Elephas maximus indicus: one gene and its partner. The protein of the gene in region 2 interacts with the protein of the main gene of each other region in a pairwise test. Links are inferred from orthologs where the notes say so. Each region holds a gene or a part of one and is shown on either strand. Other genes may lie near its edges. The genes, in order: USF1 and FOSL1.

Region 1 (15,246 bases), on a different chromosome or scaffold from region 2:
CTCATCTTCCCGCTTTGGTTTCTCAGCGGAGTACAAAGCCTGGAAAGCAGCTGGCTCCATCTGCAGGGCACCTTCCAACTCAGACACTGGATGAGTCAAGAGGAGAGAATGGGAAGTAGGCAGGAAGGGCTGGACCCTGGTAGTCAAACAAGTGTTCAGGAGGCCGCAAAACACACACACAGACACAAAACCCACCAACACATACTGGCCCCCAACCTCAAGGACAAGAAACAGCTACTTGCACGGGCACTACTCAGCCAAACATTTGAAAGTGAGCCACTTCGTGAGGAGGAACAGGCAGATTCCAGCACACAGCCTCAGGGAGGTCCAACTGATCTGCCACTCTCCTCACCGCCTGTTACCCCTCAAACTGGATGGGCCAGTTCCGCTGCCAGGATCCGCCTCTAATCAGCCCTACTCTAGGGAGGCTTAGGGGTGGCTTAAGGGAACTCTGGACCCCTGTAACCAGTGCCTTCCCCGCGCCACCCTACCTGCGGCCCCATTAGCTAATACCTTCCTTGACAAGTCTTTACTCCACCACCAGGGCGTCCCCTCTCAATCCCATACCCGGGATGTTAAGCGCCCCTGGGATGGTCCCAGCTGCAGCCTCCTCCCGAGATCGCACGTCGATGAGGCGGACCCGGCCCGAGGATAGGAGCAAACGGAGTTCAGGTAGCGAAACCGTGGGCACTGAAGAAGGGAGCACGAAAGTCTTGAGGGGACCCGGTCAAGGCACGGCGCCGCAGAGCCTCCTCGCCAGCAGCGCCCTGTCCTGGTGGAGTGGGGTGCATGCAGATGTCTCAGCAACACCACTTCTCCCGCCCCTGCACCTCCATCCAAGGGGCTCCGCGCAGGTTACCTCCAGCCATGGGGCGCGCAGTGATCAATCGCAGGAATGCGGCCCCAACCCGCCAGGTCAGCTCCCGCAGCATCTCCCCCGCTCCTCCTGGAGCCGCCAAGACCGGAACCGGAAGCAATTGCACCGCCTCATGCACCGCCCCCGAGGCACCTGTCAGTGCTGCTGCTGACACCGCCCCCCAGAGAAATCCTTGCGATTGCCCAGCATGGGCTGGAAATTCCACACTGATCTGGGCCAGGTACCAGGGTTCAGGGTAATAAGCACACCAGCCCCACCCCACCCTAAACCTAGCCCAGCCCTTAGTGGTCAAAGGGCAGCATGCTCCTTCCCTTCAGCCCTGGGGCCCACAAAAGCAGTGAAAACGAGAGACAACTGTGGCTCTGAACAATTTTATGTTTAAAAAAAAAAAAAGGAAAAGAAAAAAAAACTTCCCCCCAAAAGGGGAAGGCCCCAGGTGGGCCCCTGCCTGTTGTTCTCCCTGGCTCCAGAGACATCTGCATAGGCCTTAGCTGCTTGCTGGCCAGGCTCCTCTTCCCTGGGCAGCAGCCATTGCTAAGCATCCCTTCTCCCACTTCCTGCTAAAGCCTGTTCTCCAGACAAACCAGGTCCACATCTGAACCTCAGCTCCAAGGAAAGGAAGAATAGTGGAAGCGTTGGAGTCCTGGAGCAAGCCAGAGCATCACCAGTCCGCAGACCCTCTGCTGGGCACTCTAAGCAAGCGCAGGACAAGCTCTCCAGTTAAGTGTGTCCAGTATCCAGCATCGAGACAGCACATGCATTGTGCAAGAAGAGCACACGGGCCCAGGGGCTGCTTGTTGGGGGTGGGCGAGGCTGTTAGTGCTCGTCCACGTGGCTGTTTCACACCACTGCAGGCTGCTATATCACAGGGCCTCAGGTCAAAGACACACTTTCTGAACTCCCCCGAGTCCCATGCCAGAAGGGCAGTGAAGGAAAGGGGCACGGGTTAGCCTGGTGCTCCTGGGCTGTCTGCAGTTCTGAAAAAGGGGCTGTAGGGCCCAAAGCCCCTGGATCCCCAGGTTAGTTGCTGTCATTCTTGATGACGACCTCTACTCCATGGTGTCGCAACTGAGCTCGTAGCAGCAGATTCTTGTTTTTAAGGTCTTCCACCTGACACAGGAAGGAGGCAGTAAGAGAATTCATACAAAAGTTGGCACGACCAAGCCCTTGAACTTAAACACCCACTGGTGGGGGGAAAGAGGTGAGGTCCTCTCAGTGGAGAACCAAGTAGGGAGCCCTAAACCGGGTCAGTGGCTACAGGGTAGAGGAAGGGCTGTGTTGAAGGCTGGGATCTGACCTGCTGTCGAAGCACATCATTGTCCAGCTGCAGCTGGTCAAGCCCCTGCAGTTCTTCGGACAACCGGTGGTTACTCTGCCGAAGCTCCTGAATATAATCACAGGCTTTGGATAGAATTCCACCTTTACTCTGCAAGAAAATGAAAGCAAAAGGAGGACCAAGATTTAAGCTACTTTCCAAAAGCACTTGCAGACTTTAGACCTCATTTCCCCCAAGGATGGTGATGTAAAATATCCCAGGGATAGAGGAACCTCAGAGAGAAGGAAAAAAGACCACTGACACTGTGCCCCACTTTCTAGCACTTCTGGAAGCAGTATCAGGAGACATTACTCGGGCATACTGACCTGGCCAGACTTGGTACTCTCCATAGAGCAGTCGGGGATGATCTTGGACAGCTGCACAATCCAGTTGTTGATCTTGTCTCGGCGGCGGCGCTCCACTGTGGGGCAAGGGGAAAGACAAAGTGACTCAGCAAGAACTTGCCACAAGTCCCAAGGTAAAAGTTCCCCACTCAACCCAGCCCCCCCTGCCCCCAGACATCACTCCCATCCCCAATCCCACCAATCAGCTCCTAGCTTCACGCCCTCATCACATCTACCTTCATTATGCTGAGCCCTGCGTTTCTCATCTCGAGTCGTCCGGGGAGCTTCTGATTTCCTGACAACAGAGCCCAGGGTGGCCAGAGTGAGGACAGGACAAAAAATAAGGTGGAAGTCTGGGGTAAGGGATTTGGCAGGGATCAAAACCCCTCATCCTCATAGTCACTGAGAAGAAACAAAGGTCACTCACGGGGAATAAGGGTGGGTCCTGGGGGCAATGGAGCGCTGGCTTCCTCCCTGCAACACTTCTTGTGGTGACATCATCACAAAGAACTGACCTGTGAAGATGCAGGGTAGGTTCTGTCAGGACATAGGACTGGGAACCTCATCAAGCTCTGAGGCCAATGCCTTGGGACCTTCCTCTAAAAATAACATGCTTCCTCCTGCTGGAAGGTCAGCCCCAGACTCACTGCCTGCCCAGGACTTAGTGATCACCTGAGAGGTCATGCGTGATGGGCCACTGTCACGTCTCACAACCTATCCTAGCCCCTCCAGCCTGCATCATCATGATATCTCACCAGTGCCAGGAGGGGTCGCCTGCCCCAGCAGTGCCTCTGAGCCCTGGGTAGTGACAACAGCAGCTGTACTTCCCGATGTGGCGCCCCCTGCCCCATCTCCCACTGCAGTGCTGGGGAAATAAGTATAGTGTGTCTCAGCAGCTGTCCCCTCCGCGTCAACTGCATCATCACTGGTGAATGCACCCTGGATCACCGCCTGGGAAGGGGAGCGAGAGAGCAGAGTCCAGTGAGTCAGACGCTTCTTCCTGCCATACCATCCTGCAGCTTCTATCCCTGGGAGGAAGAGGGGGAACAATCCAGAAAGGGAGAGCCTAGGGAAGCTCTAGGGACAAGAGATAAGGCAGCTCTAGGTGCCTCACTATCCCTAGCGTCGTCACTGGTTCCCTTCGTCTTACTGCTTAGAGCTCTATCCCCCTCCCCAGCCCAAACCCCTGTACCTGGGTCATGGATTGGGTGGCAGGGTAACCACTGATGGCTCCAGTGCCTTCAGTCTGGCCATCCAGCTGCCCCTCAGACACCTGGATCACCCTGTACATCACCTACAAGTGGGGAAGGAAGGCGAAGGAGAAGAACAAAGAAGAAGAGAGTAAGTACTAGGGGTCCCAGCGCCCTTCACAAAGCTTCCCTTAGGGCCCTGAAACAAGAATTCTTCAAAGACACAGATTGAGCCATTCCTCCTCCTTTCCCTTACAGAAGTTTCAGCATAGCCCCTGGCCCACATTAATTTCTACTCTAAACCTCTCCATCCCCCAAACAGTCCACATCTTCACCTCATTCTCCAAGCCAAGTCTCCCAAGACATGTTCAATTACCTCCCTCAATCCCAACCCCAGGTCACACCTGCAGCAACCTGGCCCCCTCCCTTACCTGGCCCCCATTCTCAGTTCGGAAGACGTACTTGACGTTGGGGTCAGGGAAGGTGGCAGCTGACTGGATGCTGGCAATAGCCACGCTGGTTGGGTCCTCCCCAGTTGCCACTGCACCTGAATTAAAAAAGCAAAGGAAGGGCCTGTGAGCTGCTGCCTTTCTCCCTCTGTTCCACTGGTACGTCATTCATAGGAGGAGGGTGCACAGGAGATAGGCCGTCGGAGAGACCAGGAAGGGCTCTTGGTTCTATTTCTGTCACTCACCTTCCTGAATCTGCACTGTCCCCTCTTCCGTTTCAGCTGTCTTCTGCTGCCTATTTGTGAGGAAGGGACAAAAGGAAGAATAAGGAAAGAAATGAATGAGAAGCTCACTGACCCAGTAACATATGGCTCCCGAACTCAGTGGCATTCGCACCAGATGCGAGATTAGACTGGAATAACAACAGCTAATATTGACTGAGTGTTTACTATGGGCACAGGCACTGAGCTAGGCACTGAACATGGACTATCTTATCTAATACTAAGAACAGCCCTATAAGTATCACCACTTCCATTTTACAGATGGAGAAACCAAGTCACACAGCTAATAAGCGATGGCACTGGGACTTGAATCCAGATCTGCCTGACTCCAGAGCCAGTGCTCTTATCCAGTCTGCCATTCTCCTAGGCCACCCATCTTCTGTCCCAGATCCTACCTCTTCTTCACTTACCCCTTCATCTCTCTGTGAGGGGGAACATCCGAGGAACTGGTCCTTCTCTGGAGGTCTTTGTATGTCTTGCCTCACAGCCCTGTGTGTTAAATCCTGGTAGAAATCAGGGAGTTTGCAGTGAGTCTAGGAAACTCAACAGCCTCCTGGTTCTAGAACTAGGCTCCATAAAGATACAGCCAGGAACATAACCCAATCGTCTGCAGGGGACAGTAAGCCTCCCCCATTCTTGATGCTGAGGACTGGGCTACAATGGTTGAAAAAGCCACCGTACAAATAGTGTTCCTCACCCCTCCACGACAACTCCAACTCCTGGTGGAGAGGGGATTACTGGACTGGAAGACTGAGAAACATCCTGTACCTGGATGGGTTATTACTAAAGCTATTATGACCTGCCATGACCGCAGCTTCATAGGGATTAGACCCTGTTAGACTATCACTATCAAAAAACACAGGGCTATGGACACTGATGCTTCTTTCAACTTCTTAGATGTATACTTTACACCAAGAGATCTCTATTCTCAACTCAATGGCATGAAGCCCATTGCCATTGGAAAACCATCCCTAACCACAAAGACCAGACTTGGCCCTTAAGGCCCATTCTATTGACAGAGCTCTTGTTCTGGGGTGTTCAGATACATGTCTTCTGTTAGAGACCCTAAAGCACAAATGCAGCATCTTCAAGACCTCTCTATTTTATTCTCCAAGGCTTCCTGTGAAACAACACATTTGCTAACATGTTGCCATGACAACTCCAAATTTCAACTGAGGCTCAGCAAGAAGGAAAAAAGCTGGAAGCTCAAGGTTCTGAAGGAGAAGAAACAATGGGGGAGGAATCCATTCATAAGGTGCCATCCTTAGGACCCTGACACCCAGACAGAGGGCAGGAAAAACAACGGGCTGAGCAGACCAATGCCTCCAGAAAAAAACAGCCGCACAGCGCAAGGCAAAAAGATAATCCGAACAGGAAACAAACAAGATTTTTGTAAACTCTCTACCTTTAAGGTTTCCCCAAATCTAAGGAAAATCTTCAGCGGTTACACTTTGGAAAGCCAGTGTCTAAGGAAAGTGTCAATAGGTCTTTGAAAAAAAGGAACTGAAAGTGAAAGCGACAGAGGAAGTAATACTGCAAGGAGATCCCAGTCCCTAAGTGGAAATAACACTAGTACCTAGGGACCACCTACCTCTGTCCTCAAACCTGAGGAGGAGGTGCCCCTCCCGAGGCTTGCTGCGCTGACTGCAGGAGGCGGCAATGAAAGAGAGGGCAGGGCACCAGGAAAGGAGGCAACTCTATCATCCACAGCTGTCAGCTAGGGGCAGCCTCTGAGGGCACCAGCAACGGGGTCAGGCTGCTGATTCAAATCTCAGTGGGACATCAGGAAGCATTTCCTGAGCACTAGGCATACGCGACGCGGCAAAGGAAAAGGATGTTGTGGCGTGCACGCTCAGACAAGGAGCGACCAGCAAGATCCCTCGCTAAGTCCGGACACAAAGGGAAAAAAGGCAAGTCGTCAAAGAAGTCAGGCGCAGAGACCTTGCCTGGGAATGCGGCATCTTCCCGGAGGCCCACCAGCCAGGAGGCGCTTTACAGAGCTGAGCGCACGACAAGCGCGAGCCCCGGGGCCCGTGCCGCCAGCCCGCGCCCCGGCTGCTCCGCAGAGGAGGCAGGGAAGGGCGCCAGGGGCTCGGCAGGCCCCGCGGTCCCCGCCCGGACTCGGCCGCTCGGCGCCCCCCGCTACGGCCCGCGGCCGCGCATCGCAGGACGGGGCGCGCGCCGTTCGGGGGCGGAGAGCGAGCTCGGCCCACAAAGGGGGGTAGGAGATAAAGAGCCAGGCGAGCCCCCTCCCCCAAAACAAAGGCTTCCTACCCAAGAGTTCCCTAACCCAGAAAACTAAAACCAAACCAGAGCTGCCCTGCCTTGCCCGTCCGCCCAGTGTCCCGACTTCTGTCTGGTCCTGCACTCACCGGGCAAGGCCGCCTCAGGCGCTGCTTTTCCCCGACAGTGTTTTCCCCCCTCCGGACCCGGGTATCTCCATGGGCAGCCGCTCATGCGCACTCCCAGCCTGCAGCCATGTTGATGAGGGGCGGAAGTGTCTCTCTCGACCCGCCCAGCCGACTCAGCCCCTTGATCCGCCCCACTTCCGTTCGTTCCCCCTGGGTGAGGGCTGAGGGATGCGGGGGTGTTTGGAGTGTCTCTGGACCGAGAAGGTGCCATTTCCTGGGATCTTGTCGGAATGACACTGAAGTCGTAACCGTTTTCAGCAAGAATGGGAGAAAGACGACTAATTTGTGCTACCATCTTTGTGCTGGGCGGTGCATTTTTTAGTCTCAGGAAAAGGTAGTGAGGGAGCCAATTTAGGTCAGAGAGGGAAGTCCGGCCGAGACGCCATCTTTAACAAGGCTCATTTGGGAGGCCATCTTGGATCAGGGCATCTGTTTGAAGTGTTTCTTAACGGGAAGATTAAGACAGCTAACTAGGCATACTTCTTTGTATTAGCGTCAGCCGTCCTTTACCTAAAGACCCAAGGCTTCAGTTTCTTTGAAAGGAATTTTTATTCCCATTCCAACTAGCCAGGACCTAACCCTTAATTGATTTGGGACCAGACAAACCCAGATCTCATACCCACTTTTGCCACTTCTTACCTCTGAGATCTTGGGCAACTTAATTAAGCTTTAGTTACCTCATCTGTAAAGAGTAGACACCAGTGTCAACCTTCTGAACTGTTATGTGGCTTAAATAAAGTCAAGGGCATAGATGCTATGCACGTAGAACACCTAGCTCAGTTACTGGCACAGAATGAGCATTATGTAAATATAATTTCTCTTCCCCTTTTCCTGACCACCGTGAACTCAGCTCTAGTTTCTAGCCACAGGTCTCCATGACAACATCTGAGGAAGAACAAACAGCAAAGAAAAAAAGACATTTGCCCAAACATGTGAAGAGATGATACCACTCACGGCTTTAGTAAGAATAATGAGACTTCACACTATTTACATGTAAAAATACAACTTTTATTCTGAGACAGCCCCCACTTACTAGAGTGGGATCTGTGGTTCAGCTGGTCTGGAAAAGCAGCCCCAGGACCTGAGTGGCCCCATTCCCCTTCCCTAAGGTAACAAAACCAAACCCACTGCCATCGAGTTAATTCCAATTCACAGTAACCCTAGACGACAGAGTAGAACTGCCCCATAGAGTTTCCAAGGCTGTAAATCTTAACCGAAGCAGAGGAAGTTATCCCAAAGGGAAAAGGAGAGGCCAGAGAGATCTATACAGGACCCCTTCTTCTTTAAGCTGACTGGAGACAGCAGGTGGGTGAGCTGGAAAGATGGTCAGTCCTCCCAACAAACACTGAAGCCTTCAAAGAGCTTCCTGAATAAGTTACTCCTAATCTGAAGCTCAGACAGGAAGTATTCAGGGGTCCAGGAACAAAACAGGGGTGGGCAACACAAAATGTTTGTGTGTGATAGGCTCTGACCTGGCCCTGTCCTCCCCACCTCACCTTAAGCTTTCATGAAGGTTCACAGCCTCAGAGGAGAGTAGGAACTTGGCTGGAATTCCCCCTCCATTCTTCACTTTGAAAAACCTCTAAGTTTTCTGCCCACATCTGTTCCTTTTGGCGCAGTGATTGAGCGTTCAGCTGCTAACCAAAAGGTTGGCAGTTCAAATCCACCAGCCACTCCTTGAAAACGCTATGGGGCAGTTCTACTCTGTCCTATAGGGTCGCTATGAGTCGGAATCGACTCAATGGCACCGGCTATGTTCCCTTTAGCCAATAACCCCACTCCCTAGGAACCAGATCTTGGTAACTTTCTTAGGAATCTCCTAAGGGATAAGTGCTTTCTGTCTTAGACAAGCTCAGGTAAACGAACTAACCTGTGGCCTCCCACAGTCAAAAAGAGAAGCAAGAGGCCAAAGCCTGTAGAGTTAGGCTCTACAGCTCGTCAGGGACCCTGGAGATTCAAGACAGCTTACTGGTCCCCTTTGCCCAGGTCCTAATCACAGTTCCTCACCTTTCCCAAGGTTACCCTGTGTTTCAAATGCGTACGATCGGCGCTGGGGGGGCTTAAGGGGGTCAGGGGGCTGGAGTTCTCTGGGGGGCAGACTAAGCCGACTCCGGGATTCAGATCCTTCTGTGCCTTCAGGTGGGTGCTCCAGGCAGCTAAGGGGCCGGTGAGAATAGGCAGGAAGCATGCTACCGTAGGTGGTTCTGGGGATGAGGCTGTAGTCCCCACCTCCAGTACAGGTCTGGGTCCGCCGAACTCCCTGAGCCTCAGTCCTCTGGCGGTCCCGGGCCAAAGCCACAGCAGCATCAAAGGAAAGACTGCCCCCATTCCTCCAGGAGGAGCGGGAGGCTCGGGACCCCCAAGCCCTTTCCCCAGGAGTCCCATCAAGCCGGCCAGGCCTCGGACATGGGTTTGCAGGTGCCACATGGATCTTGCCACACAGTGCACTGGGCATCTTGGCAAACTGTGGTTTGGGGGGCACCACAGGCACAGAGCGGACCTGTTGGACCTGAACCAGGGTGGAAGCCAGGCGCATGCCCACACCACCAGCTAAGCCAGGGGGACAGGGGCACAGATCACAGCCCTCTGGACTAAGCTGCCCCTCAGGCTCCATCTCCTCTGGCAGAGGTGGCTGTGGGGCTGCCTGTTCCTCCTCAAAGGACTGGGCATTGCCCCCTTTGGCACTATCAATGCTCAGGGACTCTCCACCTGACCCTTCAGGGAGAGAGCCTTCTTCAAAATGGTCACCTCCAGCCCTCTGGTCTCCCTCAGCCCCTCCATCCCCTCTCTCCCATTCCTTGCTGACCTCCGCTGTTCCTCCAGCTGCTGCTTCTAGGATTCTGATGTCTTCACCATCTCCTTGGTCTTCTCTTGCCTCTTGGCCCCCATCCCCACTCTGTCCTTTGATATCATCTTCCCTGCCTCCCTCAGCCTCTTGTTTATGTACAACTTCCCAGCTCTCCTCAGCAACTTGGTGTTCCTGGGCCCCATACTCTGGGTCTTTTCCAGGTTCTACCTGGGCCTTGTCTCCTCCTTCAGCCTCTTCTTCTCTCTCAGTCTCTCTTTCCTTCTCGTCTTTACTCTGCTCTTCTCCTGATTCGTCCACACCCTTAGCCTCCTCCATATTCTCAGCTTCATTCTGGCTTTTGGACTTGGTCTCTGTCTCTTCCCCACTCCCTTCTCTCAAACTAGCCATCATATCCTGGTCTCCCTCAGTCTCCACTCCTTCCTCACCTGACTCTCCAACCTCTACTTTGGTCTCTGGACTCCCCTCAGCCTCCCTCATGTCGCATCTATTTCCAGGCTCAGACTCCTTGTTCTCCCCAACTTCCAAGCATGCTTGCTCTCCTGAAGCCTGCCCTGAAGCCTGTCTTCTACACCCTGCTGCCTCTGCCTCCAGACTCCCTAGACCTTCCCAGGTCGGTGGTTTGGGCTCCAGAAGGGGACTTAGGTCGTCATAGGCACTCAGGAAGACTTCCTCCCCACTTTCCTCCTCTGCTTCAGGCCTGGGGCCAGCAAAGTCCAGGGAACAGCAGCTGGGAGCTAGGACAAACTGCGCCTCATCCAGAGAGAGGTCATCCAAGGGTGGCTCCACAGAGAACTCCTCCACCTGTAGGCATAGCATTGTGGCTCAGGACCAGGTGGCCCTGCTCACCCTGAGACCCCATACCACCCCCAAACCCAGCACAGCTCCTTCTTACCTGAGGCTCAACTCCCAGGAGCTCCTCTAGGTAGCCCATCCCAGGGTCGTCCTCCCCAGGGGAGAAAGCTGCTCCTGCTGCTCCTGCCTTGGCCACATCCCCATCCTCCACCCCCACCCACTCAGGCTCTGAGTCGCTTGAGTCCTCTAGGAAGGAGAAGGAATCTTGCACCTCCTGGGACAAGGAGTCCTCCAGAGCAGGGGCCGTGTCCACTGGGCCTGAGTCAGCCAAGGAATCAGGAGCTGCACTTGCCTCCAACTTCTTATCTGTTGGGGGAGAGGTAGTCCCAGAATTCCAAAGGTCCAGGCCAGCCCTGACCCTTTCCAATGTGGGTCTTCCTGGCATTGATACAGTATGGGCCCAGAACTCCCAGCATAGATACCCGATATGGTTGATCTTCTCAGACTGATATCCCTAACTATTGGCTTATCACTACTTTTATTAAACTCCTCTAAAGTGCATTTTCACTGCAAAACAACCCTATTATGTAGAGTATTACCCCTATTTTATGTATAAGAAAAGTGATGCTGAGAGATATGAAACAATTTATCCAAGGTCACACATCCAGTAAGTGGCAAAGCCAAAGTTTGAACCCAAGTCTGTAGCCCATGCTCTTACCCACTGTACTATGCTGCCTTAGCACTTCTCATCAGTGACACTTTAGGGACTGGAGTTGGAGCAAAGATCCGATCCCAGGTTTGCCAGTTCCTACCTATATTAATAACACGTTGCTTAACCTAAGTCTCAGGTTCCCCCACTGTAACAAACATAACACCTATGCTATCAGGAGAAGCCCTGGTGGTGTACTGGTTAAGAGCTCAGCTGCTAACCAAAACGTCAGCGGTCGGAATCCACCAGGTGCTACTAGGAAACCCTATGGGGCAGTTCTGCTCTGTCCTATAGAGTCACTAGGAGTCGGAATTGACTTGACATCAACAGGTTTGGGTTTTTTAATGCTATAAAGTTATGGGAAACCCTGGCGGTATAGTGGTTAAGAGTTCGGCTACTAACCAAAAGTCTGCAGTTCAGATCTACCAGCTGCTCCTTAGAAACCATATGGGGCAGTTCTACTCGGTCTTATAGGGTCACCATGAGTTGGAATCAACTTGACCGCAACGGGTTTGGTTTGATTTTGGTATAAGGTTATGAGAAAATTAAATGAACTAATGCCTGCAAAGTGCTTAACACAGCACTTGACACATAATAAGCCTTCAATAAATATTAGGTATTATTCGTAATGTTATTATTATTTCTGCCATCTATTATATATTCCCACACTGGTACTTAGTAATCCCTTCTCTATGTGTCTGACTCGGACCTCTATTCTTGGATATATCAGTGATCTGCAGGCTGCCAGGGATTCTCTCTCCATGGATTTTGCAGAATTCAATACTATTACTAGATTCTCCCAACCCCAAACACAGGGAGGCAGCTGAAGACAGCCACCCCAAAGCACAGGAGCTGAGGACTCTGCCCTTCTCAGGGAAGATCACAGCATGAGAGCTTCAGCCTAGAGTTCTAGTCTCCTTTCCCAGTCCTGGGTAATCCCAGGGTCCTCACCTGGAGGGCCAGGGCCAGGGCCAGGGCCAGGGCTGGGACCAGAGGCAGGACTTGGCCGGGGCTGTAGGGCCGGGCACTCAAGGCCACGGGTGAGCCTGGCCAACGAGACATTGGAGATGATGTTTGGGGGCATGCTGAGGATAGAGGTGATATGTAGCGGGAGGTTGACGTTGTAGGGGTCTGAGATGTGGACGCCAGCACAGCGCTCTGAACGGCTGGTGCCACCAGCCCGAACTGCTGACCGCCCAGCTCGTGGTGTGCCTGGCTCGGAGTTTGTGCCAGCCGGTGCCTCTGCCTCAGGCTCATGCTCGCCTTCTGCTGCCTCCACAGAATTGTTCTCCAAGCTCTCAGGAAGCAGCGGGCCTGGCCGGGGACTGCTGGGCCCCATCAGCCCCTCTGGCTCTGTGGAGGGGAAAAAGGACCAGGTAGGCAATGGCCTCAGCTGCAAGGGGTCACCTAAGGAAGACTCCAAAAAATGTCCCCTGTTGTACCAGGTCAGCTTCCTCTGCCACTACCGCAAACCCTCCACCCAACCAGCAGAACGCAATTTTCTCTGCCTGCACATATCTAGAAAGCCCCCTTCCCCTTCTTGCACGCACAGTCACTGGCCACCACTGCCACACACACACACTGCCCCTTCATCCACTGCTTACTGTCCCCATTACATCTATGTGCAAACACTCATATGAACACACACATAGGCCATAAACTCACCACTGTAACCCCAGCATCCAGCACCAACCCAACCGACTGACTTGACCCATTGCCGTCAAGTCAGTTCCAACTCATAGCGACCCTATAGTGCAGAGTAAAACTGCCCCATAGGGTTACCAAGGAGCACCTGGTGGATTCGAACTGCTGTCCTTTTGGTTAGCAGCTATAGCACTTAACCACTATGCCACCAGGGTTTCCCCACATCCAGCACGTACCAACTATTGTGCATCCAGCACAGTAGTTGGTATATAAACTATTGCACACTCGTTAAATATTTTTTAAATCATTGAGCACAAGTGGCCACACGCACAGACACACACACACACACACAGGGAAATGCAGGCACTGTGGTCTCAGCCATAATACCTTATTTTCTCGCAAATACATTCCCAGGCATGCATACACACAGATGCACACAGACCCATGCTGTTGATCACACAACACACGTGTGCATGCACACAGGTGCACACCTCTACTCACCATCACTGACCCCAGCTGCAGCGCTCAGTGAGTCCATGCTCTTGGCTGGGCGCAGTGTCCCTTTATCAGACTTGTCCTCTGCAAGACAGAGATGTGCATAGAGCCAGAGCCTCACACACATCAGCTGAGCTCTCCCCACAAATCCCTAGGCTTACCCCTGTCTTCGCCCCCTCGTAGAAGTTTACGCTTTGTCTCATGGCCAGAGCGACCCAGATTGAAGATGGATCTCCATTTCCTGACCTTCAAAGACCCCTTCCTCCTGCAAGGAATGGGGAAATAATTGGGGAGTGGGGGCTGGTGGTCAGTGCAGGGGAGGAGGGCCCAGGAAAGAGGCCTTACTTGTGCTCAGCAATCTCAATGATAGTGTGGTAGGGCCGGATCTGTGGGGGTCCATCGCCAGCCTGCAGAATACTAGGCAAGTGGTAGGGCAGGGACCGGGGCATAAAGTCCTCAGTACTGTTTGACGCCCGGGCCCCTGGAAGTGATCGCCATCCACTTTCCATTTCACCACCTGGGGGGAAAAGAAAATTGGCTGGCCGGGAAGAGACCGGAGAGGGACCGCAGGCACCCAGCCCTTCATTGCCTCCCCCCACTCTCCAGCTGCCAGGATCGCTGGGTATATACTCAGAACCACCCCCAGAGATAGGCCCTACAAGGGGGGACCTCAAGAGTTGGCCTTTACAGACAGAGAGTGCCAGGAGATAGATACCAGGACATTGGTCTTGTGGGCTGGGGATGAGAATGAGCAGTCACTAGCCTTAGGGACCAGGATGGTGAATGAGAACTCAGGCTACACCCTGAACTGACAGTGGAATAGCCCCGCTCAAGTCTTTCACTGTGCCGTTATCTCTCCAGGGTCCTGTCCATGTGATAATAAGCATCATCCCTCTACACCTAGACTCAGTTTTCTCATCTACAAAAATGGAAAGACTGGACTAGTTGATCTTTGAGGCCCTCTCTAACTCTGACATGACCCCCAGACAGAAAGCAGCAATGTGGGGGATGGGGAGGACACTGACCAGAAAGGGCAGCACCCCCGAAGAGCTGGTCCACGTGCGTAAGGATGAACTCGACAACAATGGACTGCACGCGCACCTCCATGAAGGCTGCTGTCCCATTGAAGCCCGAGGCCTCTATGTCCTTAGACCTGTGGAGATGTGGAGTTACTTTTCTCCTCGCACCCTCCACCTTCCCATCCTAATGCTCCCTGAAAATACCTTTATCCTGGATGCCCTTAACGCCATCTCCACCTTTTAATTCATGCACATGATTCAAGTTTCAATGCCACTTCTTCCAGGAAGCCTTCTAGGACACCCTCCTCAGGATCGACCTCTGCTTCCTTTGCACTCCCAAGGTGTCTTGTGTATAATGAACTACAGGACTTCTCATAGCTTGCCTTTACCTTGGTGGGTGGCATGCAGGTCAGTCCTCCAATGGACTGCAGACATTTGCTCAACAAACATTTAGCCACCACCTAACATGTTCCAGTCCCTAAGCTCAACAATAAAGTCGTGGAAGACACAAAGGCCCCAAACTTAGGGGCTTTAGTTGAGCTCAGAGAGGGGCCTCAGTGTGGCTGAGAGCAGGCCCCATCCCACTTAAAGCAGTACTAAGCCTTTCTGTTTCTCAGCGGCTCCCTGGGACTCCACTGCCCTCTCCGCTCCCTCTACACCCCATCCTGGAGCAGCCTCCCACAGCTAGTCTCTCCCAGGATCCCCACACACATGCTCATTCGCACTCCCACCTGAGCAGATTGGGGGCCCACACGATGGCCAGGTTGCGGGCGTGCATGTTGGTCTGGGAGCTGAAGGAGGCCATATGCACCAAGTGCCGCATAAGGAACTCCAGGGTCCTGCAGGAAGGAGGCATCATTTAACAAGGACCTATCCACACTGGAGCCTGGGAGCTGGAGGGAGGAGGGACA
Region 2 (15,252 bases):
TCAAATGTTCCCCCTTTAGCCTCGGGGTCCAATGAAACACCCAGACCAGAGCTTCAAGCCTTTTTATTCCGTTTGACAGGTTTGTACAAAAATACTCTCTTAAGGAAAATAAATAGCAGCTGCCTTTGCTGTGTGGGCTTGGACTCCCTGAAGCTAAAGGCCTCTCAGAGCTGGGTGCCACAGGTGAGCTCATCACAGAAGCCTCCAACGCCCTCCGGGGCTGTGCCATTTCAGAGGGGCCTGAAGGATGCCCTGGTCCGATCAGGTGGTGCTGCTGGCAGTGGGGCTGGGTTAGTGTTCTAGGCTGGTAGGGCGGCACCTTCTGTCAGGGAGTAGGGCTGGGTGGATGACAGGAAGAGGGTGATGTAGGCTACGGGGGTGGGTCTGGAAGAGGTTAGGACTCCAGAGGACCTCGAAGGCTCTACAAAGTCCTTTTGGGCTGCTGGGAGTTCTCTGGCACAAGCAGGAAATAATTTGTCTCTCATGTAGTGCAAATTGTGCTAGAGGGGCCAGCTCGAGAGAAACAGTGAGCAGCGTTGGTGGCCCCAAGCTGGTTCCATCCTGAAGCAAAATATGCTCAGTCTCATCTGGAGGGATGGAGAAGAACGTGCTGGGTTTGGGATGGACTGTAGTCCAGACCAGCTGGACCAATGAGGGTAGAGGTGTTGGCTAGAGTGACACCTGCAGGGAAGGGGCTGGAGCACCTCACAAAGCAAGGAGGGTGGGGGAGCCGAGAGGGTCAGAGGACGGGTCCCCGCTGCTGCTGCTACTCCTGCGATGGGCCGAGGCGCAGGGCTCTGGGGTGCTGGGGTAGGTGAAGACCAGGCTCGGGGTGAATGGGGTCAGGGAGGGCGTGGTCATGAGCGTGGGCGTGTGCAGCGCCTCGGGTTCAAGCACCGGCCCCGGGGAAAGGGAGATACAAGGCACAGAGCGGGAGGGGGCAGGCGGGCTGCTGGTACCGCCTGTGCCGCTTGTGTCCTCTGTGCTGCTCTCCTCAGCCCCTTCTGGGATTTTGCAGATGGGGCGGTGGGCTTCCAGCACCAGCTCCAGGCGCTCCTTCTGCTTCTGCAGCTCCTCAATCTCTCGCTGCAACCCAGACTTCTCATCCTCCAGTTTGTCGGTCTCCTGTAAAAGGTCAAAAGGTCAGGGGAGGAATGAGGAAGGTGAGGGCTGAATATCCTGCAGCCTGGGAGGATGGGTGGGGGTGGTTGGGAGCCCCTGTGTAAGGCTGGACTACAACTCCCGTGAGCCCCTGGGAGAGAATGGGCACGACTCCCATCAGGCTTGGGGGCGTCCTAGAAAGCTGTAGTCCGCAAGAGCTCTGCTCTGAGCCCAGCCCTGATTATGCGCTTTAGGAAAGAGTCAAGGGGAGTAGATTTGCATGGTTACAGAGTGAGATGCGCTGCAACTAATTTTTAATCGCTTTGTCTTCGTCCTTTTTCCAGAAGGGTTCCCCTTAGCTAGGGAGGCAGTTAGGCGCCCCTGGTTCCCACGGGGTCCCCCTAAGGCTTGGGGGGCCGGGGCTCACAGCCTGCAGGAAGTCGGTCAGTTCCTTCCTCCTGTTCCGGCACTTGGCAGCGGCTAACTTGTTCCGCTCGCGTCTCACTCGGCGGCGCTCCTCCTCCTCGGGACTGATCTGGGGAACAGAGGGTCGAAGGGTGGAAGGTGAGGCACCACTGCGGCAGGCTGCCCAGCGCCCGCCCCCCATGGTGGCCCAGGGGTAGACCCCTGGCGGAGGACACGGTATAGAGACCACAGCACCGCAGCCGACTTCCCGCACTCACGGTCTGGGCAGCCTGGATCGGTCAGATTTCCTCCTGGCACTCAGCCTCTGCCTCCTACGGTTCCTCACACCAAGTGCCCTCCCCTTCCACAAACCTTAAACCTCCTCGTCGTCCGGGACTCAGCTAAAATGCCCTCGCCTCTGGGAAGCCTTCTCTCATCCCCCAGCCAGAAGTGGCCTTTGCTCCTCTGAGACCTGGAGCAGGGCCCCCAACCCTCTTTGACCAGAACCCTCATTCTTTCCATCTCTTGAAGACCAAGGGGCCTCTTCCCCTGGGACTGTGAAAACTAGGAGGGGCTACTGAGTGCTCCGGAATAAGTCGTAATTTACTAGGAGCCTACTATGTGCTAAAGGAGCCCTGGTGGCACAGTGGTTAAAGAGCTCTGCTGTTAACCCAAAGGTCGGTGGTTCTAACCCACCCAGCCGCTCCACAGGAGAAAAGACCAGGCAATTTGCTCTTCTAAAGATTTACAGCCTAGGAAACCCTAAGGGGCGGTTCTACCCTGTCATATAGAAATGCTATGAGTCGAAATCAACTGGAGGGCACACAACAAAAACAACTAATTATGTGTCAGCTAAGTGCTTCATACGATTCTTAACCACTTTCCATGTGAGGAACTGAAGCTCAGGGGGGATGAATCCCTGGGTAAGGTCCCAGATCAGGAATTAGAGTCCACTACCTCTATTGAAACCCTGGTGGCATAGTGGTTGAGTGCTACAGCTGCTAACCAAGAGGTCAGCAGTTTGAATCTACCAGGTGCTCCTTGGAAACTCTACGGTGCAGTTCTACTCTGTCCTATAGAGTCTCTATGAGTCGGAATCAACTCGACAGCAGTGGGTACCTCTATTGACACTGGCCAGCTTATGGAGACCACCTCCCCCCAAAAGAACCACTCACAGCCCCAACCTGGGAGTGCCCAGAATCAAAGTGCCACCCTTACAACAGGGCAGGAGTCCAGAAGGCGGTTACCCCTGGCTTGCCTGTGTCTGGGGCTCTCTCGCTAAAGTCCCCTGCATCCGTTCTACTTCTGGGAAAACCACCCCTGGCCCATCTCACATCTTTCCCAGGATCCCATCCTCCCTATTCTCTACTCTGCTGTTGGAGCAAGCTTTTTAACATGCGGACCTCACCCCACTGTTGCCTCACAGATCAGAACGCTCCAGGGAGAGGAAGGAGGAAAGCCCCCTATCTTACTTATTATCCCTTAAGCCCCCCTTATCTTTCATTTATTTATTTTGGCAAAGATTTTATTTGAGCAGTGTAAGGGTAGTATCCTTGGCTAGGGAGGCAAGAGGCTCTCTTATTTATTATCCCTTAAAGCCCCCCTATCTCTGGTTTATTTATTTTGGCAAGGACTTTATTTGAGAAGTGGTGAGGGCAGGAGCCCTGACTGGGAAGGCAAGAGACCCCGGATCATGCTGCTTGGAGCCTCCTGGCAGCTTCTGGTGAAACAGTGTGCCTGGATGGTTAGGAGCTGACTTTAGGGTTGGACAGACCCAGGCTCATTACTCACTCCTTGTGTGGTCTTGGGCAAGTAACTTTACTCCTCTGGGCATTTGTTTTCTCCTCTGTAAAATGGGGAGAATCAGAGTACATTCCCCAGAGAGTTCTTGTGAGAATTAAATGAGATAGGGAAACTGAGACCTAGAGAGTAGCTGAAGGGGATCCACTCTTTCCTTTTCTCTCCCCAGCTGTGCAGTGCCACAGACAGCGTCAGCCCACTCCCCTGCACATGCCAGTGGGGGGAGGCCCTCTGCCATACTCTCACCTTTCCATGTTCACATCCTCACCTCTACCTCCATTCCTTGTGCCTGCCACTCCCTCCACCCAGAACTTCATCTTTTCTTCATCTCTGCCTTTGCAAATCCTACCCTAGGATTTAACATCCTTGGAGGCTAGTATGCCCCCTCCTCCAGGAAGCTTTCCCTGATCTAGAAGGGACCTCCTTGCCTTCTGGGCCTCTCCAAGGGTTCCAGTCACTTTCTGTCTTGGGCAATAGTTGCCAGTGACCCTGCCTTCTAGGCTTGTGCTCTCCTTTTCTGGCAGGAGCTTGTTCTCAGCCCCCTAGCAGCCCTATGGGCATCAGAACCAGGGCCAGGCGTCTGCTCCTTACCTGGTCACAGGGCCGGCGCCGCACTCCTGGAGGTGGCCCTAGGGCCCGGATGACACCTGGTCGGGGCTGCGGCGGGTTGAACTGGGGGTAGCCCAGAGGCCTGGGATAGCTGCTGGGCCCCAGGAAGTGAGGCTGTACCATCCACTGCAGCTCCTGGCTGCCACTCACAGCGTTGAGGCTTGGCACAAGGTGGAATTTCTGGGGGACAAGAAGTGGATGGCCGAGGATGAGTTCTGTGTGGATTGAGGGGCATCTAGTAGACAGAGGGTACACTGCCATCCACTCCCAAAGCAGCTGCCAGTTCTGGGAGATCAGAAAGAGCGCAGCTTGGCAGTCAGACAGACGGACTTGGTGGCAAATCCCTGCTCAGCTGTTTGACTTTGCACAAGTCACATAACTTTTCTGTGCCTGTTTGCCCTGCTAAGCGCTGTCCTGACCACTTTACAGAGACTGACTCATATACTCTGCACAACTGCCCTATGAGGACTGCTCTAGTAGTAACTTCATTTTCAGTCCGGGGAAGAATTGCCTGAAAACACAGTCTGTAAGTGGGACCCCAGCTCGCCAGGCTCCAGAGTCTTGCCCTTACCCCTGCACCCTGCCTGAGTCCCATCTGCACAAAGAGGGTAACTGTGAGAATCAGGTGAGAGAACGTGTGACAGAGCCTGGTAAGTGGCAAGTGCCTAATGCGCAGGGGACTGTGGTGGGCAGGAGTCACTGCGCTGGGTTCAGGCAATCCCAGTTCTAAACCTGGCTCAGCCACTTTCTGATTGTGTGACTTTGGGCAAGCTGTTAAGCTGTTTACCTTCATTGTGCCTCAGTTCCTCATTTGTAACATTGTAATAGGTGAGGGGAGCCCTGCTGGTGCAGTGGTTGTTTGGCAGCTAAGCAAAAGGTTGGCAGTTCAAATCCACCAAGCCATTCCTTGGAAACCCTATTGGGCAGTTCTACTCTGTCCTATAGTATTGCTAGGAGTCAGAATGGACTCCACTGCAACAGGTTTGGGTTTTTGTTTTGTTTTGTTTTGTGTTTTTTGGTTTAATAGGTGAGAATTACAGCATTTCACTGATTCTCAGAAGTACCTTTTAATAGCTCTGAAATCATAGTTTAATTGACATTTTTTTCCTTTACTGGCACAAACTCATGGTAGGTTTTAAAATCATCGTTTCTTAGATTCGGTGGAATAGTCAATGAAGTGGAAAGCGCCTAGCACTTCCCTGGCACACTGTAAATGACACGCCAAAGGTTATCTGAGATGATTTCTGCCAGGAATCTGAGCAATGGGTTGGGATGAGGGCACACTGTTCTGGGAGCAGAACAGGGTTAGAGGCCTGGAGCTGGGCCCTGGGTGTGGGCGACCTGTCGTCTGAGAAGCTCTTCACAAGCCCAGGCAAGTTTCGACAGCAGTGGCCCCGGCTAAGGCTGCTGTCCCAGTGACCCGGTGACCCCAGTTCCGGGCCCGAGGCACTGCCAGCGGCGGCATCTCCCGCTCCCGAGGTTGTCCGGGCCAGGGCGCTCGGGGCCAGGAAGGGAGGGGCGCCGCGGGTGACTCAGCCGCCGTGACTCGGCCGCCGTGACTCGGCGGAACGGACGCCCGCTCATTCTCTCCCCTGGTGACACGTGCTCGCGGCCCTTTGACAGGAAATGGGCACCTGCAGCCTCCCAGATTCCCCCAGCCGGCAGCGGGCGCCGGTGCGGGCCGAGGATCCGGGGCGTTGGCGTTGCCCGTTGCGTGACGCCGCACACGTCCCGAGGCCTCGTAGGGTTTAGTGGCCCCAACTGGGAAAGGGGTCGAGAGCCAGTCTCCGGAAACCACCAGGCTCCACTGCCAGACAGCCACCGAAAAGCGTGAAGCCTCAGTGAAGAGTGGGGGGAGGGAGGGACAGACCAACGGACAGACACACAGTCACAGGCAGCGCCGAGTTCCTATTTTGTAGAGGCTGGTCAGCCGATGGTGACCGCCTCCCTCCAGTGTCCGCACGTCTCGGCCTTAGCCCAAACCCGGAGCCCGGGCATCCAGCCCGAGATGGAGAGCCTCGCTGATCCTGGTGGGGCTACGACTAACCCAGATGTCCCTGATCCCCGTCGGAGAACTAGCGGTGGGCAGGAGGAAGGAAAGAAGGAAACAGACGGAGGGACCGACCGCAGGCAGCGCGGGGAAGGGGGCGGGCGAGGAGCGGCGCCCGAAGGTCGTCCCGCGCATCCCCCTGGGCCGTGGAGGGAACGTGGCTCCCGGACGGCAGGTAATGGGCAGGGTCCTCGGCCCGGCCCCCGGCCCTAGCCGGCCCCCGGCCCCTGGCCCTGGCCCCTCATCGGTCCCCCGCCCCCGCTCTGGTCCTTCTCCGGTCCCCAGCTCGTCCCGGAGCGGACCCCGGCGTCCCAGGCGCTGTCCGAGCCGTCTCACCTGCTGGGCGGCCGCCTGCGCCGCGGCGGGATTGGGCGCGGGAGGGCCGTACGCGCCGCCCGGCCCGGTGCTCGGTCCGGGCTCCTCGAAGTCTCGGAACATGCCCTGGGCTGCTGCTTGCGGGCCCGCGGCGGCTCGGTCCTGACTCACCGTCTCCTCGCCGACTCTTCGCTTTTTGTGAATGAACGCTGGCGGGCTGAACCACTCGGACTGCGCGGGGGTGCTCGGCGGCGGGTCCCCTGGGCTCCCTCTCCCGACGCACCGCCCGTGCCGTCCGCGCGAGCTTTGCGACGCCTCCTGCGGCCCGGTGCCCCCTCTGCTCGGAGAAGGGGCGGACTCGCGGGCCCCCGCGACCGCCGGCGGGGCTCTGTGCAGGGCTCCGCCCTCTGACGCAGCTGCCCATACATGGTGCAATTTCCTCGGCGCGCCCAGGTAGAGCCCAGGGTTCCCCCGGCCTGACGCACCTGCGGCCGCCCCGCCCCGCCCCGCCCCGCCGCTCGGTCCGCCGCCCGCGCGCCCTGGTCCGCACGCGGCCTCGGCCTCTGCAGCGGTGAAATGGGACGACGTCGTTCCGGAGCTACCTGTCCGCGCGTGGGAGGTGGAATGATGAATGGGAAAGCAGTTTGGAAGCTGTAAAATGGATTATGAATGTGATACATTATTTATTTTATCATTATCACTGGGTGTTTTGTTTCATGCCGGAAACCATGCTAAGTGCCACGCACGGTTTCACAGTTGTGGCAGGGGGCCCGGCCACTGGCATTGCTGTACGGCTCGGGATATACTGAAAAATGAATGAATGACACATCAGAGTTATAAACATGGTGATCTATTTTAAGTGCTTAAAAGAACAGAGTAATGCTTTGAACAGTCCACAGATACAATGCAATATCGTCGTGCTGCTGACTGGAAATTGCAGGAGCTCGAACACGTTTTAAGGTCCCTGCGTGGCACAAACGTTTTGCGATCGATTACTAATCTAAAGGTTAGCGGTTCAAACCTGCTCAGTGGCGCGGACGAAGAAAGGCCTGGAAATCTGCTTTCATAAAGATTACAGCCAAGAAAACCCTAGGAGCAATTCTACACTGTAACACATGAGTCGCTGTGAGTCAGAATCAACCCTATGGCAGTGAGTTGGTTTGTTATGGAGTGGGATTCTGCGATGGGACTCCAGTGGCTAGCTGTCTGGTGAACACCATCTTCTTTAAATACTGTCATGCTACTTGTGGACTGTGTGGTCACCAGCATTGTTTGGAGATGATGTCAAAGGTCTGTATGAACCTGAGGCCGGAATCAAAAGTCAGCAACCAAAGACCAACAATCCTGGGAAGTAGGTACCACCATCATCCCCATTTTACGGATGGGGAAGCTGAGGCTGAGAGAGGCTGAAATGATTGTCCAGGGTCACTAGGTGAAGGGCTGGACCAGATTCCCAAACTAGGGCTGTAGGAGCTCTAAGGCCAGGCTCAGCCAAGATTTTTCAAAGCCCTCACTGCGTCACAGACGCTATTCCACACATGCAGAACGTCAGTGCTGAGAGGACCGTCCAAAAGCTTCTGTGCCCCCCCCTATTTTACAGATGAGGAAACTGAAGCCCAGAAAGAGTAGGAGCTGCTAACGTCACACAGCTGTAGAAAGAATGCTGGGCTCTCCAGCTTTTCCACCAGAACCTCCATCTGATCAGCTCCAGTAGAGCTCCAGGGGGCAGGGCCCTGGGCAGCCTGTCATGGGCACAAAGGTAAGGGGTCTGTGGGCTCACTCAGGGCTGGAGCCAGGAGGCCAGCCTGACTCTGGGGTTCCAGTCACAGAGCTGTCATTTCCTGTTGTGTCCCCTAGCTTCCAGGGGTGAATTATTCAATAAGCAAAGCAGGCACAGGTTTATTTGCCCTTACTCTCTAGTCTGTAGTGAACAATTGCACTTTTTTTCACCACATCAAAGTTTCTGCTTCTAGGTATGGCTGGCATGTCTCTCTCCCAACCCCACAGCATCTTCCTACAGAATCAAAGACTCTTCAAATTTACAATCCCTGACAGGGGCAGATGGCCAAGTAAGCAAGGCAAGCACGGGCTTACTTGTGCTTACTTGCTAGTCTGTAGTGAGCAATTTCACATGCGAACAGTTGTTCACTATGATCAGTAAGTAAGCACAAGAAAGCCTGTGCTTACCTTGTTTATTGGATAATCCGCCCTGCTCCCCTCCAAGTCTCAGTCCCAGTGGCAATGATTGGACCTCCCAGTGACCTCGTGGGGCTGCTGTGAGGATCAAATGAGATCATTGATGAGAAAGTGCTTTGTAACCTGTAAAGTGCTGTGTTTTCAGGAGGTGGCTGCCAGGCTGGTGCCTCTCCCTTTGACCTTGTTTTATTTAAGGCTTGTCTTCCTCTGAAAGGAAAAGAAACCACAGCAGTTTACCAGAATGAGAAACATAGGGGTGTATGTGTGTGTGAGAGAGAGAGAGAGAGATTTTGCAACAACAGTGTGACCCATGGGAAGAACGTGCACGCTGGAGTCAGACAGTTCTGGGTCCTGGGTTGGACTCTGCTGGGTTCCTCACCAGCCATGTGACCCAGATGAGATACACAATCTCTCAGAGCCTCCTTTTCCTCTGGAAAATGGAGATATCATTATAGTTACATCTCAGGGTTGTTGGGGGCTGTTATTGTCATTGTTGGGTGCTGTCCAGTCGGTTCTAACTCATAGCCACCCCATGTACAACAGAACAGAACACTGCTTGGTCCTGTACCATCCTCACAATCGTTGTTATACTTGAGCCCATTGTTGCAGCCACTGTGTCAATCCATCTCGTTGAGGATCTTCCTCTTTTTCGCTGACCCTCTCCTTTACCAAGCACAATGTCCTTCTCTAGGGACTGATCCCTCCTGACAACATGACCAAAGTATGTAAGACCTGGTCTGGCCATCCTTGCTTCTAAGGAGCATTCTGGTTGTACTTCTTCCAAGACAGATTGGTTCATTCTTTGGGCAGTCCATGGTATATTCAATATTCTTCACCAACACCACCGTTCAAAGGTGTCAATTCTTCGGTCTTCCTTACTTATCATCCAGCTTTCACATGTACATGAGGCGATTGGGGGGTAGAAGTAAAATAATATCACGTGTTTAATACAGAGCCGGACACATAGTAAAAACGTGATAGTTGTTGTCGGCTGCCATTGAGTCAATTCTAACTCATAGCGACCCCATGTGACAGAGTAGAACTGCCCCATAGGGTTTTCTTGACTGTAAATATTTGTGGAAGCAGATGCCCCGGTCTCTCTCCTGTGGAGCCACTGGTGCCTTCGAACTGCCAGCCATTGTGCCAAGCCAACAGGGCTCCTTTGATAAATAGTATCGAAAATAAATACACATGTTAATAAAAGCCTCCGGGTTGAGACACACACATACACACACGAATAGCTGACTTCCTTGGCCAGACCCAACTAAGTCAGGTCAGGGGTGACACAGGTGGCCAGGTGGTGGCACATTCAAGGCCTGACACAGGTCAGCCTGGACTGCATTCACCCTCATGCCTCCAAAGACCATCCCTGACCCCTCCCCAAGCAGCCTGTGCAGCTGAAGGAATGGGGGCTCAGCCCCCCACTCCTGACTTGGGACAAGTCTTTTGGTCCTTCTGGTTTTCAGTTTCTTGGGCTTTATTTAAATAGGGGGTGTATGTGTGTGTGCGCACGCGTGTGTGTAAAGGAAACCTGGTAGCACAGTGGCTAAGTGCTCAGCTGCTAACCGAAAGGTCAGCAGTTCAAACCTACCAGCTGCACCTCAGGAGAAAGATGTGAGAGTACTTTCCTAAAGATGACAGCCTTGGAAGCCCTGTGGGGCAGTTCTCCTCTGTCCTGCAGGGTTGCTATGAGTTGGACTCGATGGTGGTGGGACTTTTTATTTTTTGGTGTGTGTGTGACTACATGACTCTGAAAGTCCCTTCCTGCTCTAACCGTCGGCCGAGCCACAAGAAGGTCCTTACAGAAGCAGCACATTCCAAGCTCCTCAGTCACCAACTCCTGCCTCGTGGCTACAGAAACGTTCCTGGGGCCTGACCTCACTAGCTGCCACCCAGGGAGGCCAGGAGAGAACCCCAGGAGCCACAGGGGCTGCTGGGAGTCTGGGGTGGGGGAGGCCTGAGAGACCCTGGCCCTGGCCTTTGGCCGCCGTGTGAGCCTGACCCAACCTCTTACCTACTCTGAGCCCCAGAGAGCCTCACCTCTTAGGGTTGTGGGGAGATGAAAAGGGGTGGTGGAGGAGTATGCCTGGCACACAGTAGGTGCTCAATCAGTGCCGCCGGAGGTGATGTTTATTTTTTTAGTTTCCATTCACTTTTGTAATTGAAATATACATAGAGTAAAGTTCAATCATCACGGTATTCCGCTCAATGACTTTTTACATGTATACCTGGGTAGCCACAAGATCAAGATCAAGGACGTTTTCAGCAGCTTGGAAACTCTCTTTAATGCCCACTCCTGTCATTACCCCCACCTCCAGTTAACCACTATTGTGACTTCTATTATCATAGATTAGTTTTACCTACTCTTGAACTTCATATAAACGGAACACTGAGCGTGTGCTTTTTTGCATCTGGCTTCCTTCACTCAACATGTCTGCAGGGTTCACCCACGTTATTGGGTGAACTAGTAGTCTGGTCTTTTCTATTGCTGGGTAGAATTCCATTGCGTGAATATCCCACAGTCTTTCCATTCTTCTGCTGATGCCTTTGGGACCCTTCTGGTTTGGGACTATTGCGAATAAGGCTGCTGTGAACTTTCTTGATGTGTCCATTGGTGGCTATTCGCACTCATTTCTCTCGGATAGATGCCCAGGGGCGGAATTGCTGGGTCACAGGGGTAGGTGTATGTTTGGCTTTAGTTGATTTGACTTAACTGTTGGCCTAAGCAGCTGTGCTGCTTTATAGTCCACCAGCAATGGGTAAGGGTTTCCCACTGCTCCACATCTGGTGTTGACATTTCAGTTCACTGTGACAAACATTTATTCTCCTTGATCCTGGCTCCATCCTCTCTCTCCTGGATGGTCTCCCAGCCTCCACCTCAGCTCCCTCCTCTCCATTTTCCACCCAGCATTCTGAAGAAGTTGTTGTTGTTTTTTTTATTGTGCTTTAAGTGAAAGTTTACAAGTCAAGTTAGTCTCTCATACAAAAACTTATACACATCTTGCTATATACTCCTAGTTGCACTCCCCCTAATGAGACAGCACACTCCTTCTCTCCACTCAATATTCGATGTGTCCATTCAGCCAGCTTCTGTCCCCCTCTGCCTTCTCATCTCCCCTCCAGACAGGAGCTGCCCACATAGTCTCATGTGTCTACTTGAGCCAAGAAGCTCACTCCTCATCAGTATCATTTTCTATCTTATAGTCTAGTCCAATCCCTGTCTGAAGAGTTGGCTTTGGGAATGGTTCCAGTCTTGGCCTAACAGAAGGTCTGGGGACCATGACCTCCGGAGTCCTTCCAGTCTCAGTTAGACCATTAAGTCTGGTCTTTTTATGAGAATTTAAGGTCTGCATCCCACTGTTCTCCTGCTCCATCAGGGGTTCTCTGTTGTGTGCCCTATCAGGGCAGTCATCGGTTGTAGCTGGGCACCATCTAGTTCTGGTCGCAGGCTGATGTAGCCTCTGATTTATGTGGCCCTTTCTGTCTCTTGGCCTCGTAATTACCTTATGTCTTTGGTGTTCTTCATTCTTGAAGGAGTTGTATTTTTTTAATCATGAGAATGTTCACAAAGGAATCTTTAAAAATTCTGACCCCTGTCTCTCTCTGACTTGGACCTTTCTGAGTTCTGGCCCCTTCAGAATTGCTGAGGCCTGGGAAGAGGTAGGGCAGGGATGCTTGATGCCCCCTGAGTTCTTATAGGTTGCATGTTGATGGGGTGGGGGGAACTTGGAGGGCTACGAGGATAACACCAGTGGCTCACACATACACTATTCAAAGTATTTATTTAATCCTCACAACAATGCTTGGAAATAGATAATCATGCTATACCCATTTTACAGAAAAGGAAATGGAGGCACAGGGAAATTAAGTGACTAGCTAAAAGCAGCACACGATGAAGCGGTGGAGCCAGGATTTGAACCTAGGCAGTCAGTCTTCAGAGCCCGGGCTTCTTGAAAGCACCCAGAATCTGTGACATGGCATTCTAGGCCCTCCCAGGTTTGGTGGACCTTGGCTGCCTGCCCAGGCTCCTCCCTCTGCCTAGCTTCAATGCTGGACCCAGCCTCTCAGCCTTTGCACAGTCTGTACCCTTTGCCCGGGGTACCCTCCCCTAACCCCCTCACCTGGCCAGCTGTTTTACCCTTCATGTCTGGTCACCATCTTCAGTAAGGCCTTCCATGAGCCCTAACCAGTAAACCAGTTGCCATAGAGTTTATTCCAACTCATGGTAACCCCATGTGTTTCCTAGTAGAACCGAGCTCCCTAGAGTTTTCAATGCCTGACATCTTTTGGATGTAGATCACCAGGCCTTTCTTCCAAGGTGCCAACTTTTCAGTTAGCAGAGTGTGTTAACCGTTTCCAGTACTACTTCCATGAGCCCCTAAAAAAAAAAAAAATTCCCTACATTAAATCCCTCACGCAAAACAGTTTCCTAGTACTATGCTATATATTACTGTTCTCTGCTCAGAATGATTTTTTTTTTGTGTGTGTGTGTGGACATATGCTTTTATTTTTCTTGGGTATAAACCTAGGAGTAGAATTGCTGGGTCATATGGTAACTCTGTGTTTAAGTTTTTGAAGAAGTCCCAAAGAGGCTGTGCCATTTTATATTCCCATCAGCATTGTGTAAGGTTCCAATTTCTCCACATCCTTGCTAAAACTTATTATTGTCCTTTTTGATTATAGCCATCTTAGTGGGGGTGAAGTGGTATCTCATTGTGATTTTGATTTGCATTTCCCTGATGGCTAATGATGTTGAACATCTTTTCACGTGCTTATTGGCCATTTGTATTTCTTTGTTGGAGAACTATTTATTCATATCCTTTGCCTTTTTTAAAGTTGGGTTGTCTTTTTAATTGTTGAGTTGTAAAAGTTCTCTATATGTTTTGGATACTAGACTCTTACCAGATATATGATTTGCAGATTTTTCTTATTCTGTGAGCTGTCGTCACTTTCTTGAGGGTGTCCTTTGAAGCACAAAAGCTTTTAGTTTTGATGCAGTTCAGTTCATCTATTTTTCTTTGTTTGCTTGTTATTTATATATCATAACTAAGAAACCATTGCCTAATCTAAGATCATGAAGATCAATGCCTATGTGTTCTAGGAGTTTTGTTGTTTTAGCTCTTATATTTAGGTCTTTGATTCATTTTGAGTTAATCTTTATATATGGTGTAAAGTAAAGGTCGAACTTTATTCTTTTGCCATTCTTTTTGATCCAGTTGTCCTGGCATCATTTGTTGAAAAGACTGTTCCTTCTTCCTCTTGTCATCTTTGTCTTAATAAGAGGTGGGAGAAACATTCAGACAAAAGCAATGGGAGGGAGATTAAAAAAAAAAAGTAAAATGAGAAAAGACTAACCTGGGATGTTTTGGTACCATTTTGTTTTTTCTTCTCTTCTTTCTCCTTTCTTTGCTTTCTCATTTCAGAGAAATTCTTGTAGTGCTATAATGCAAAAGCACGTGGTATAAATCAAATCCGGCCAATTCTTTGAATGAATATATAAGAACCTTTTACTATGTATAGGTTTTTAATGTGTACATACGTGTAGGCCTCAGAATGATTTTTAAATCTTTGCATTTTTTGGGCTGTGCTATTTTAGGATACATGCACACACGTATATCCAAAAATGCAAATAATTTAAAATTCTTTTAAAGAAATAGATAATACACATACATACACACACACATATATGTATGTGACGTTGTTTTTAGGTATTATTGAATCAGTTCCGGCTCAGAGCGACCCTGTGTACAACACTGCTGGGTATTGCACCATCCACACAATCCTTGTTATGCTCGATCCCATTATTGCAGCCACTGGGTCAATCCATCTCATTGAGGGTCTTCCTCTTTTTCACTGATCCTCTACTTTACCAAGCATGATGTCCTTCTCCAGGGACTGATCCCTCCTGATAACATGTCCAAAGTTTGTCAGATGTAGTCCCGCCATCCTTGCTTCTAAGGAGCATTCTGGCTGTCCTTCTTCCAAGACAAATTTGTTTGTTCTTTTGGCAGTCCGTGGTATATTCAATACTCTTCACCAACACCACAATTCAAAGGCATCAATTCTTCAGTCTTCCTTATTCATTGTCCAGCTTTCTCATGCATATGAGGAAATTGAAAATACCATGGGTTGGGTCAGATGCCCCTCAGTCTTTAAAGTGTCACTTTAAAAACACACATATGTAATTTCTCATTAAAACATGTTTTATATTTTTATCTAAATTTTATTTTGTTGTTATTGCTGAGAATATACACAGCAAAACATACACCAATTCAACAATTTCTACATGTACAATTTAGCATCATCGATGACACTCTTCGAGGTGCGCAACCGTTCTCACCCTCCTTTTCTGAGTTGTTCCTCCCTCATTAACATAAACTCATTGCCCCTACGGTTCCTGTCTAATCTTTCCAGGTGCTATTGTCAATTTGATCCCATAAAGGTAGCTCTTAAAAAAGCATAATGTTCAAGGCAGATCTTTTTTACTAGTTAAGTGAAACTATTGCTCAGTTTTAAGATGACTTCGGGGATAATTTTGGTTTAAAGTTTAAAGATTATTTCAGGACGATAGTTTCAGGGGTTCATCCAACCTCCATAGCTCCAGAAAGTTTAGAATCCTTGAAAATTTAAAATTCTCTTTTGCATTTTCTCCCTTTTGACCAGGATTCTTCTATGGAATCTTTGATCAAAATGTTCAGTAGCGGTAGCTGGGCACCGTCCGGCTCTTCTGGTCTCACTGCAGAGGAGGTAGTTGTTCACTAGCTGTGTATCCTCCT

The links.
Region 1: the proteins of FOSL1 (region 2) and USF1 interact in binary tests that used the Homo sapiens proteins (3 or more experiments, as listed by UniProt). The link is inferred for Elephas maximus indicus from reciprocal best matches to the Homo sapiens genes FOSL1 and USF1.

Annotation. Positions count from the first base shown.
Region 1 is NC_064821.1:199,852,499-199,867,744, forward strand, and holds USF1 (upstream stimulatory factor 1), read right to left. Parts: upstream 6,957-15,246; 5' UTR 6,829-6,956; intron 4,960-6,828; 5' UTR 4,875-4,959; coding exon 4,867-4,874; intron 4,471-4,866; coding exon 4,421-4,470; intron 4,276-4,420; exon of another isoform or gene 4,274-4,275; coding exon 4,158-4,273; intron 3,831-4,157; coding exon 3,729-3,830; intron 3,488-3,728; coding exon 3,292-3,487; intron 3,052-3,291; coding exon 2,964-3,051; intron 2,832-2,963; coding exon 2,773-2,831; intron 2,614-2,772; coding exon 2,519-2,613; intron 2,304-2,518; coding exon 2,175-2,303; intron 1,988-2,174; coding exon 1,898-1,987; 3' UTR 1,264-1,897; downstream 1-1,263. Other genes in the region: TSTD1 (thiosulfate:glutathione sulfurtransferase), read right to left, coding at 1-86, 568-690, 860-932; ARHGAP30 (rho GTPase-activating protein 30), read right to left, coding at 8,861-10,477, 10,569-10,834, 12,129-12,530, 13,323-13,400, 13,478-13,581, 13,662-13,833, 14,342-14,469, 15,067-15,174.
Region 2 is NC_064825.1:129,038,303-129,053,554, forward strand, and holds FOSL1 (fos-related antigen 1), read right to left. Parts: upstream 6,648-15,252; 5' UTR 6,404-6,647; coding exon 6,302-6,403; intron 4,096-6,301; coding exon 3,898-4,095; intron 1,637-3,897; coding exon 1,529-1,636; intron 1,126-1,528; coding exon 706-1,125; 3' UTR 52-705; downstream 1-51.